2 linked regions of the Saccharomyces cerevisiae S288C genome follow. Changing the gene in region 1 together with any one later gene gives a genetic interaction. Each region holds a gene or a part of one and is shown on either strand. Other genes may lie near its edges.

Region 1 (5,877 bases):
AAAGAATAAAGAAAAAAAAGAAAAGAACATTAGACTACACGTGCAGCATATACCAACTATTTTTATTATATGCTTATATATGCAAAGCTTACGATATTTAGAGAGTAAGTGGATTGACGATAAAAGTGTTTAATAAGGAGCCATTCGTTTTTATAAAGGAGAAACAATACCGGCCTAACATGATTCAAACGCAAAGTACAGCGATCAAACGACGTAATTCTGTTCATAAAAACCTCTTTGATCCATCACTGTATCAAATACCAGAACCACCACGTGGGGGGTTCCAACACCAAAAAAAAGAATACAGTAAGGAGACATTCAGTAATCAAGTCTTTGGATATGATATTACTAGCCTTAAAAAAAGATTCACGCAACTATTTCCTAGTAATATACAAGGGTACTTACCTGAAGTTGACCTAAGAATAACCATTATTTGTTCTATATGGTACGTCACGTCATCTATTTCAAGTAACCTATCTAAAGCCATTTTAAGAACTTTCAACCATCCCATAGCTCTCACAGAATTGCAATTTCTTGTTAGTGCTGTTCTATGTGTTGGATTTGCTTCCATCGTAAATTTATTCCGACTACCTCGTTTGAAGCATACGAAGTTTTCAAAGGCACTCAATAGTTTCCCTGACGGTATCCTTCCTGAATATCTCGATGGCAATTTCAGGAGTTCTATCCTGCACAAGTTTTTAGTTCCCTCAAAGCTGGTTTTGATGACCACTTTCCCTATGGGAATATTCCAATTTATTGGTCATATCACATCGCACAAGGCGGTATCTATGATACCAGTATCACTAGTGCATTCCGTGAAGGCATTATCCCCAATAATAACAGTTGGCTACTATAAATTTTTCGAACATCGTTATTACAATTCCATGACTTATTATACCTTGTTACTTTTAATTTTTGGCGTTATGACTACTTGCTGGTCAACACATGGCAGTAAGAGGGCTTCAGATAACAAAAGCGGATCTTCATTAATCGGGTTGCTTTTTGCCTTTATTTCCATGATAATATTTGTAGCACAGAATATTTTTGCAAAGAATATTTTAACCATCAGAAGGAAGGTAGGAATACTGCCGTCTTCTTCTACGGATGACGTCACGTCGAAGGAAGGGCAACCGAGTCTAGACAAAACAAGATTTTCTCCATTGCAAGTGGATAAGATTACCATATTGTTCTACTGCTCCTGCATTGGGTTTTCTTTAACCCTATTACCTTTTTTAACCGGCGAATTAATGCATGGCGGTAGCGTTATCAACGATTTAACGCTAGAAACAGTAGCCCTTGTAGCGATTCATGGAATAGCCCATTTTTTCCAAGCAATGCTTGCTTTCCAGTTGATCGGTTTACTATCTTCCATTAATTATTCGGTAGCAAACATCATGAAGAGGATTGTTGTTATATCCGTGGCACTCTTTTGGGAAACAAAGTTAAATTTTTTTCAGGTGTTTGGTGTTATCTTGACAATTGCCGGATTGTACGGTTATGACAAATGGGGGCTTTCCAAAAAAGATGGACGTCAGGCATAATATGAAGTAATACTATTGAGTACAAACCATCATTCAAGGTAGGACACTTAGTACTATATCAAATATATAATCAAAAAAAAAACCCTCGAAGGTCTTTTTTATCTTATTTACTGCTACTACCTCTGTTGCTAGCATTACTTCAAGATCCTAAACTGTTACCCCACCCCCGCACCATATCAAGGTTAAAAATCCGATGTGGCGGTACTTATTTGGTTATTTATCTCATTTACATTAATATGCGTACGGGAATGGCCTTCCGCTCCGTGGAGGATAAAGTGCGGTCATTTTATTATTTTTCGAAAACAATGGCTACAATCCCTTGATTATCTCACATGCGATTACAAAGCAAAAGAGAAGATTCGCATGCAGGAGCCATACACGCGTCTTTTTTAAGGTATTTCCACGATCTCGCGGAAAAACTTATAGAACGAACAACTATTGCTTTAACTAGGAAAGAATAAGAAAAAATAGCGATCATACTAGAACCCACAGTCGAGGCACAAGGATTTTGAGGATTGCTCTACCCCTAATGCCTATTGCTTCGATTGCTGAAAGCGGATCTACTCCTTTTTCCAAGTACTCGAAAGGTTGAGAGAAATAAAAATAGACTAGTCGACGGACAATGCCAATAAAGTTTGGTTATACGAACTGCTTTAACCAAATTAATATTGGACAGACTCCGTGTTTTTTGGTTTTGCCCTTTTTTCCCGCTAGAACGACATTGTGTTTCTCCAAAATTATTCCATCTTTTCCCTCGTGTTAACAATAGAGTCACAACGCACCTGTTATTATGATCTCGGGGGTGGCTTCCCGAACATCGTCGGTTGAATACTGCGCTTTGGCGTCCGAAAAAGAAAAGATAGGAAAGGATCGAATTTTTGACATTTTTCTCAACCTGCTGCGCGCTGTTCTATAGACGTTTGAGGCACCTGAAAAAGAAATACAGCGGAATAATTACTGTTCTGCTGAATCGCCCTAGGCGGTATTGTATGAGGCTAATAATAGAGAGACATCTCTGAAAAGAAACTAGAGGAAAATTTTTCAAAAATATCTATTTTGCTCAGAGAAATGAATATAATAAAGAAGCTATTTGGTTAGATCTCCCAGTAGTTACGGGGACTAGATATATAAACTGCTTGATGTACGTTTGGAAATTCTCAAATAGCAATTCTCTCTTCAAAGTTAGTGAAGGATAGGTTATATCTGTAAAAACATACTAAGATCTGAATAACTAAGATCACGGGGGCATACTATCGATTAAAAAGCTCTGATTTTACTATAGATTAAAAAGAAAAATAATGAGCTCAGACAGTTTAACGCCTAAAGACACTATAGTTCCAGAAGAACAAACCAACCAACTGCGGCAACCTGATTTAGATGAGGATAGCATACATTATGATCCAGAAGCTGATGATTTAGAGTCATTAGAGACTACTGCCTCTTACGCGTCAACGTCGGTGTCGGCAAAGGTGTATACCAAGAAGGAAGTAAATAAAGGAACTGACATTGAAAGCCAACCACATTGGGGTGAAAATACCTCGAGCACGCACGACAGTGACAAAGAAGAAGATTCCAATGAAGAAATTGAAAGCTTCCCGGAGGGTGGATTCAAGGCTTGGGTTGTGACATTTGGTTGCTTCTTGGGTCTAATTGCATGCTTTGGTTTATTAAACTCAACGGGGGTCATAGAAAGTCATCTACAGGACAATCAATTATCCAGTGAAAGTGTTTCTACCATTGGTTGGCTGTTTTCTTTGTTTCTTTTTGTTTGCTCTGCCTCATGTATCATTAGTGGTACTTACTTTGATAGAAATGGATTTAGGACAATTATGATTGTGGGCACGGTTTTTCATGTAGCCGGTCTGTTCGCTACCGCCAACTCTACTAAATATTGGCACTTCATACTGTCCTTTGCCATTGTCTGCGGGTTCGGTAATGGTATTGTACTGAGTCCCCTAGTAAGTGTTCCCGCCCACTATTTTTTTAAGAGACGTGGTACTGCATTGGCAATGGCCACTATTGGTGGTAGTGTGGGTGGCGTCGTTTTCCCAATTATGTTGCGTAGTTTCTTCTCTATGAAGTCAGACACTGATCCAACTTATGGATTTGTTTGGGGCATTAGAACTTTAGGATTTTTAGATTTGGCTTTGCTAACTCTGTCAATCATTTTAGTCAAAGAGAGGTTACCACATGTTATCGAAAATTCCAAAGATGGTGAGTCACGTTGGAGATACATACTCAGAGTTTATATTCTGCAATGTTTTGATGCGAAGGCTTTCCTGGATATGAAATATCTTTTTTGTGTCCTGGGAACGGTATTTAGTGAGTTATCCATTAATTCAGCTCTTACTTATTATGGATCATACGCCACCAGCCATGGAATTTCTGCTAATGACGCCTACACCTTGATTATGATTATAAATGTCTGCGGCATACCCGGGAGATGGGTTCCTGGCTATTTGAGCGATAAGTTCGGTAGGTTTAACGTCGCAATTGCAACTCTACTCACTCTATTTATCGTCATGTTTGTTGGTTGGTTACCATTTGGTACCAATTTGACAAATATGTACGTTATTAGTGCCCTATATGGATTTTGTTCTGGAAGCGTTTTCTCCTTACTTCCTGTTTGCTGTGGCCAGATATCTAAAACGGAAGAGTTCGGTAAACGTTACTCTACAATGTACTTCGTTGTCGGTTTCGGTACTTTAGTCGGCATTCCGATAACAGGTGCCATTATCTCTATCAAGACAACGGCCGATTACCAACACTATATTATTTTTTGCGGTTTGGCAACTTTTGTAAGCGCTGTTTGCTACATAATTTCGAGAGCATACTGTGTTGGCTTCAAGTGGGTCAGATTTTAAAAAGTAAGACAGTGCCCTTTATAGATCTTCAAAAAAGTAATGCAATAATATTTTCTTTTAGGAAATGTGTAGATAGACTATTTAATTAAAATTTCCTTATGTTTTTTTTTTTTTTTTTATTTTTCCGAATTAAAGTCACTATTTTTGTACAACTTCAACTTCAGCCATTCAGAAATCTTGCAATCTTGCATTAACGTAGAGGCGTATGAATTCTCGTAATAATTAATTAGTTTTCCTGAATTGATTAAGTCAAAGTGCCCGTCAGTCTTCTCTTTCAGCATCTCAACACGTAAATATATCAGAGGAAGCGTGATGTTATTGATAAGATTTAAGGTATCTTTTGTTAACATATGAGGGGAACACATAATGCATACTGTTTTGTTGCGTTGACTATGTGATACTAGTGAGGTGAATGTTCCTACTAACTCACGGAATTCTCTAGGAGATAATTTTGATTTAGTGAAAGCCTTACATTGGACTAGTACTTTCAATGGTTCAAAAGTATGGTCGATTATCCTATACTTTAAAGGTTTCAATACGAAGCCATTTTGCGAGTTCGTTCTTTTTATGTTACTAGCCATTTCCAAATTGGGCATTAACGATGAAATTTTCCAATAAATATCATCTACTGGCCAGCTTCCCTTTATGTCTACGCCACCATCATGGGCGCCACCGGTTTTTCTCAACTTTGTCATTCGTAGTTTCTCAGATAACTCCCTCATCACCGTATATTCATAAAGATTTCCTTGAAACACCGTAGAATGGGCGACAGCAGCATTTTGTTTCACATATGCTTGAATTGCAGGATTATTGAGCCATCTTCGTCCCAAATAGTTTTTTATCATGTTTTATCATGTTTTACCGTTCTTTACCGTGTTTTATATAGGAAGAAGCTTTAGAAATTTGCTGCAGTATTTCGCTTCCTGGTCGTTAATTTCTATGTATCGATCAACCATGTTGTTTTGCTTTTCAGTTGGCCTCGATAAATAATTTGAAAAAAAAAAAAAAAAAAAAAAAACTAGCAAACCAATGAAGCGGCTTGGCTTACAGGTACATTTTACCTTAGCGCTAAATGATATTGTAAATGTGACTTGCATCTTCTGAAGGAGCACTGTAATGAGTACTGAAAAACTGGAAGCTTCGGAGGAACCACAGGCTCCCTTGGCCAATACATCTGAGACTAACTCAATAAAGGGAGATACAGAAAATATTGTAACCGTGTTTGACCTGGCAAATGAAATAGAAAAATCACTAAAGGATGTTCAGAGGCAAATGAAGGAAAATGATGATGAGTTTTCACGCAGTATACAAGCAATTGAAGACAAGCTTAACAAAATGAGTCGGTGAGAGCAGGTGAGTAGTAACATGGAAACTTCTAATGCTTTTATTCATAAAAAAGAAAACGCGTGCTATCGCGTAACTAGGTTGCAATTAACTACAGATCGTGCCAAATACGTGCTTTTTTATATGGT
Region 2 (2,784 bases), on another chromosome or scaffold:
AGGTGAGAAGTTTACTTATCGTAAGAAGTAGCTTGAAAAGCGTACTGAAGAAGTACCTAATCATAATGTTCTAATTTTGTTTTATTAGTCGTGGTGTTCTTTTCTTTTTGTTTCAGCGTCGTTATTTAAATTTTATGTTATGGCCAAAAAAAGAAAGTTTCTAAAAATAAATGAAGAAAAGGATACAACTCAAAAAGTTATCATATAAAAATACTAAAGTAGGTCTGTTCAGATATTTCGTTTCTGAATTTCTTCTAATACACAATTTATACGTAATTTAGTAGAATTTCTGCGGAGAACCAAACTGTGCCAGTTCTTCCAATATATAGTTTTCCGGATTATTATTCATTCCCTTTCCATAGAACAGTAAACTGAAAAAAAAAAACGTCTTAGGAAAAAGGTGGAAAAGGAAAGAAGAAAATAAGAATGAAATAGAAGGAGAACAGAAGCAGAAAAAGCATGAAGGCGTCGCACATTTGCTCTTATTTGCTAAGCATTGCACCCCTAGTGGTGTCCCATGGAGTACATCATAATCGAGATCATGGCCACGAGGCAAACCATGAGTCCAAGCAAAGTTTCTTGATTTTGAAGCAAGAATCCATTTTTTACTCTCTAGTTTGCTTTCTGCAGAACCACCTCTTTGTCCTGGGACCCCGTTACAATGCGATTGTGGCTATCCTAATCATACAACTTATGCCGTGTCTTTTCGTACTGTTTGTTCCTGGACTGCGCAAGAACGATCGTGCCAGCTTGACACTGTCCTTACTAGTTTCCTTTTCTCTAGGAACACTCCTGGGTGATATTTTATTACACGTGATACCTGAAAGTCTCAGCGGCGTAACTGATGTCACAATGGTTGGAGGAGCCATATTTCTGGGGTTTATAAGCTTCTTGACTCTGGATAAAACGATGCGTATTCTGTCAGGGACGTCCAACGATGACGGCAGCATACATTCTCATTCTCATAGTCATACTCCACAACAAACTGCAGAGAAGAAAGCGGGCTTTAACATGTCTGCGTATCTGAATGTCATATCCGGCATTGCTCATCACATCACGGATGGCATAGCGCTGGCTACGTCATTCTATAGTTCCACACAAGTTGGCATAATGACCAGCATAGCTGTCACTTTCCATGAGATCCCTCATGAGCTAGGTGACTTCGCCATTCTGCTTTCCAGTGGGTTTACGTTCCCACAAGCGATAAGAGCCCAAGCGGTGACAGCTTTCGGCGCCGTCGTTGGAACGTCCATTGGCTGCTGGATGAACGAAATCGGGAACAACAGCCATAAAGCAACGTCTTCATCCGCGAACGCATCTGAACTTATGCTGCCGTTCACGGCGGGCGGCCTCATATACATAGCCACTACTAGCGTTGTACCGCAGATCTTACATAGCTCCGCACCCGATAGCAAGCTTCGAGAGTTTAAGAAGTGGGCCTTGCAGCTAGTCTTCATTTTTGTAGGATTTGCCGTTATGGCGCTCATGGATGAGCATTGATTCAGCTTTGTATTACTTGGCGTGCAATATACGTACCTTTATAGTAAATATCCTTGTTGCCTTATATGGTACCGACGCTTCCCCGGATTTCAATTAAGGCAAAAACAGGCGATAATCAGATCAGATCAAACATTTATCTCTGACCTAATACAAAAAAGAAACACAAACAAGAACAGTATTGATCGGTTTAAAGGCGTGCACAACTGTTTTAAAGATGTCCAATTTTTTACTTGTGATCCCTGAAGACGTGATCAAGGGCTGCTCCAAGGCAGATAAACTAGTTGTTACAGGAGAATTCGATAACTGGAGACATTCCGATTATGTTCTGCAGTATGACGGCAGCACACAGAACTACAGGGTGCAAATTCCCAGAAGAAAGGGCCAACGTAGCACCATGTTCAAAGTGGTGATAAACGACAAAAAATGGGTCACTCTCAACTACTTCGACACTGTCACAGACAAGTCAGGTTACACCAACAATATTCTCCACTTTAAGGACAATGAGGCCAGTCAACTCATGGATATACCTCTATCACCACATACACGGTCCAACACCGCAAAAGGGAAACCGGAAGACGACTCTTTAAATGATTATGTCAACTTGTCGTCACATAGTGACCTAAGCAGCACAGAGGAGATAGTGTGCTGGAATTCTGATATGGAGGACGAAAACATGGATGCAACCATCCAGTGTGATTTCCATCAGGCGTTCAATAGCAGGAAAGAGTCTCTAAATGGGCTAATGTGCATTGCCAAGAAAGTCAAGACGTACTGGAACAAATAGACAACTTTTTCAAACATGTTTCTTTTATGACAAATATATATATTTCAATTTTCTCTTTTCTATCTAGCTATGGTTTAGATATACATATTTTTAATAGATTTATTCCTTTTCACTTATATCACAAGGTGAGCATCTCATTTCGTGGAATAATCATCGCTGTTAGCCGCCGAGGTACACAGGCTCCAACAGACAACGGCAAAAGATCTGGCATTATTACTGCTTATGTAAAAGAGGAAGATCAATTTAAAAAAGGAAAAGGAAGGGGTTTGCGTATTGGTACATTGCAAGCAACTAAACGTCTAATCGACTCATCCTACGAAGCTCTGTTTTTAAGCATTTATTGTCTATCCTCATCAAAGCAAAGTTTCGTAACGAAAAAAAAAGCAGCCTGCTACCGATAGGAGAGTAAATTAAGGTCAGCTAGACGATTAGCACACAAGTTAGATAGTTGTGCTTTATCCAGCACAGCATGAAGTAAAGCTCGTACTTATCCTGCCTAG

What was found. A genetic interaction does not mean that the proteins touch.
Region 2: mutations in MCH5 (region 1) and ATG45 together harm fitness more than expected from each alone (negative genetic interaction), as found in Saccharomyces cerevisiae (one large-scale study listed by BioGRID).

What each region holds. Positions count from the first base shown.
Region 1 is NC_001147.6:888,395-894,271, reverse strand, and holds MCH5 (riboflavin transporter), read left to right. Parts: upstream 1-2,839; coding exon 2,840-4,405; downstream 4,406-5,877. Other genes in the region: SLY41 (Sly41p), read left to right, coding at 180-1,541; RRG7 (Rrg7p), read right to left, coding at 4,522-5,250; BIL1 (Bil1p), read left to right, coding at 5,522-5,752. UniProt on the Saccharomyces cerevisiae protein: Riboflavin transporter involved in riboflavin (vitamin B2) uptake. Does not act in the transport of monocarboxylic acids across the plasma membrane.
Region 2 is NC_001141.2:308,102-310,885, reverse strand, and holds ATG45 (Atg45p), read left to right. Parts: upstream 1-1,714; coding exon 1,715-2,284; downstream 2,285-2,784. Other genes in the region: Zn(2+) transporter YKE4, read left to right, coding at 460-1,500. UniProt on the Saccharomyces cerevisiae protein: Autophagy receptor for glycogen that facilitates the sequestration of glycogen assemblies into autophagosomes as part of bulk autophagy; the autophagy of glycogen (glycophagy) is stimulated during prolonged nitrogen starvation and during sporulation.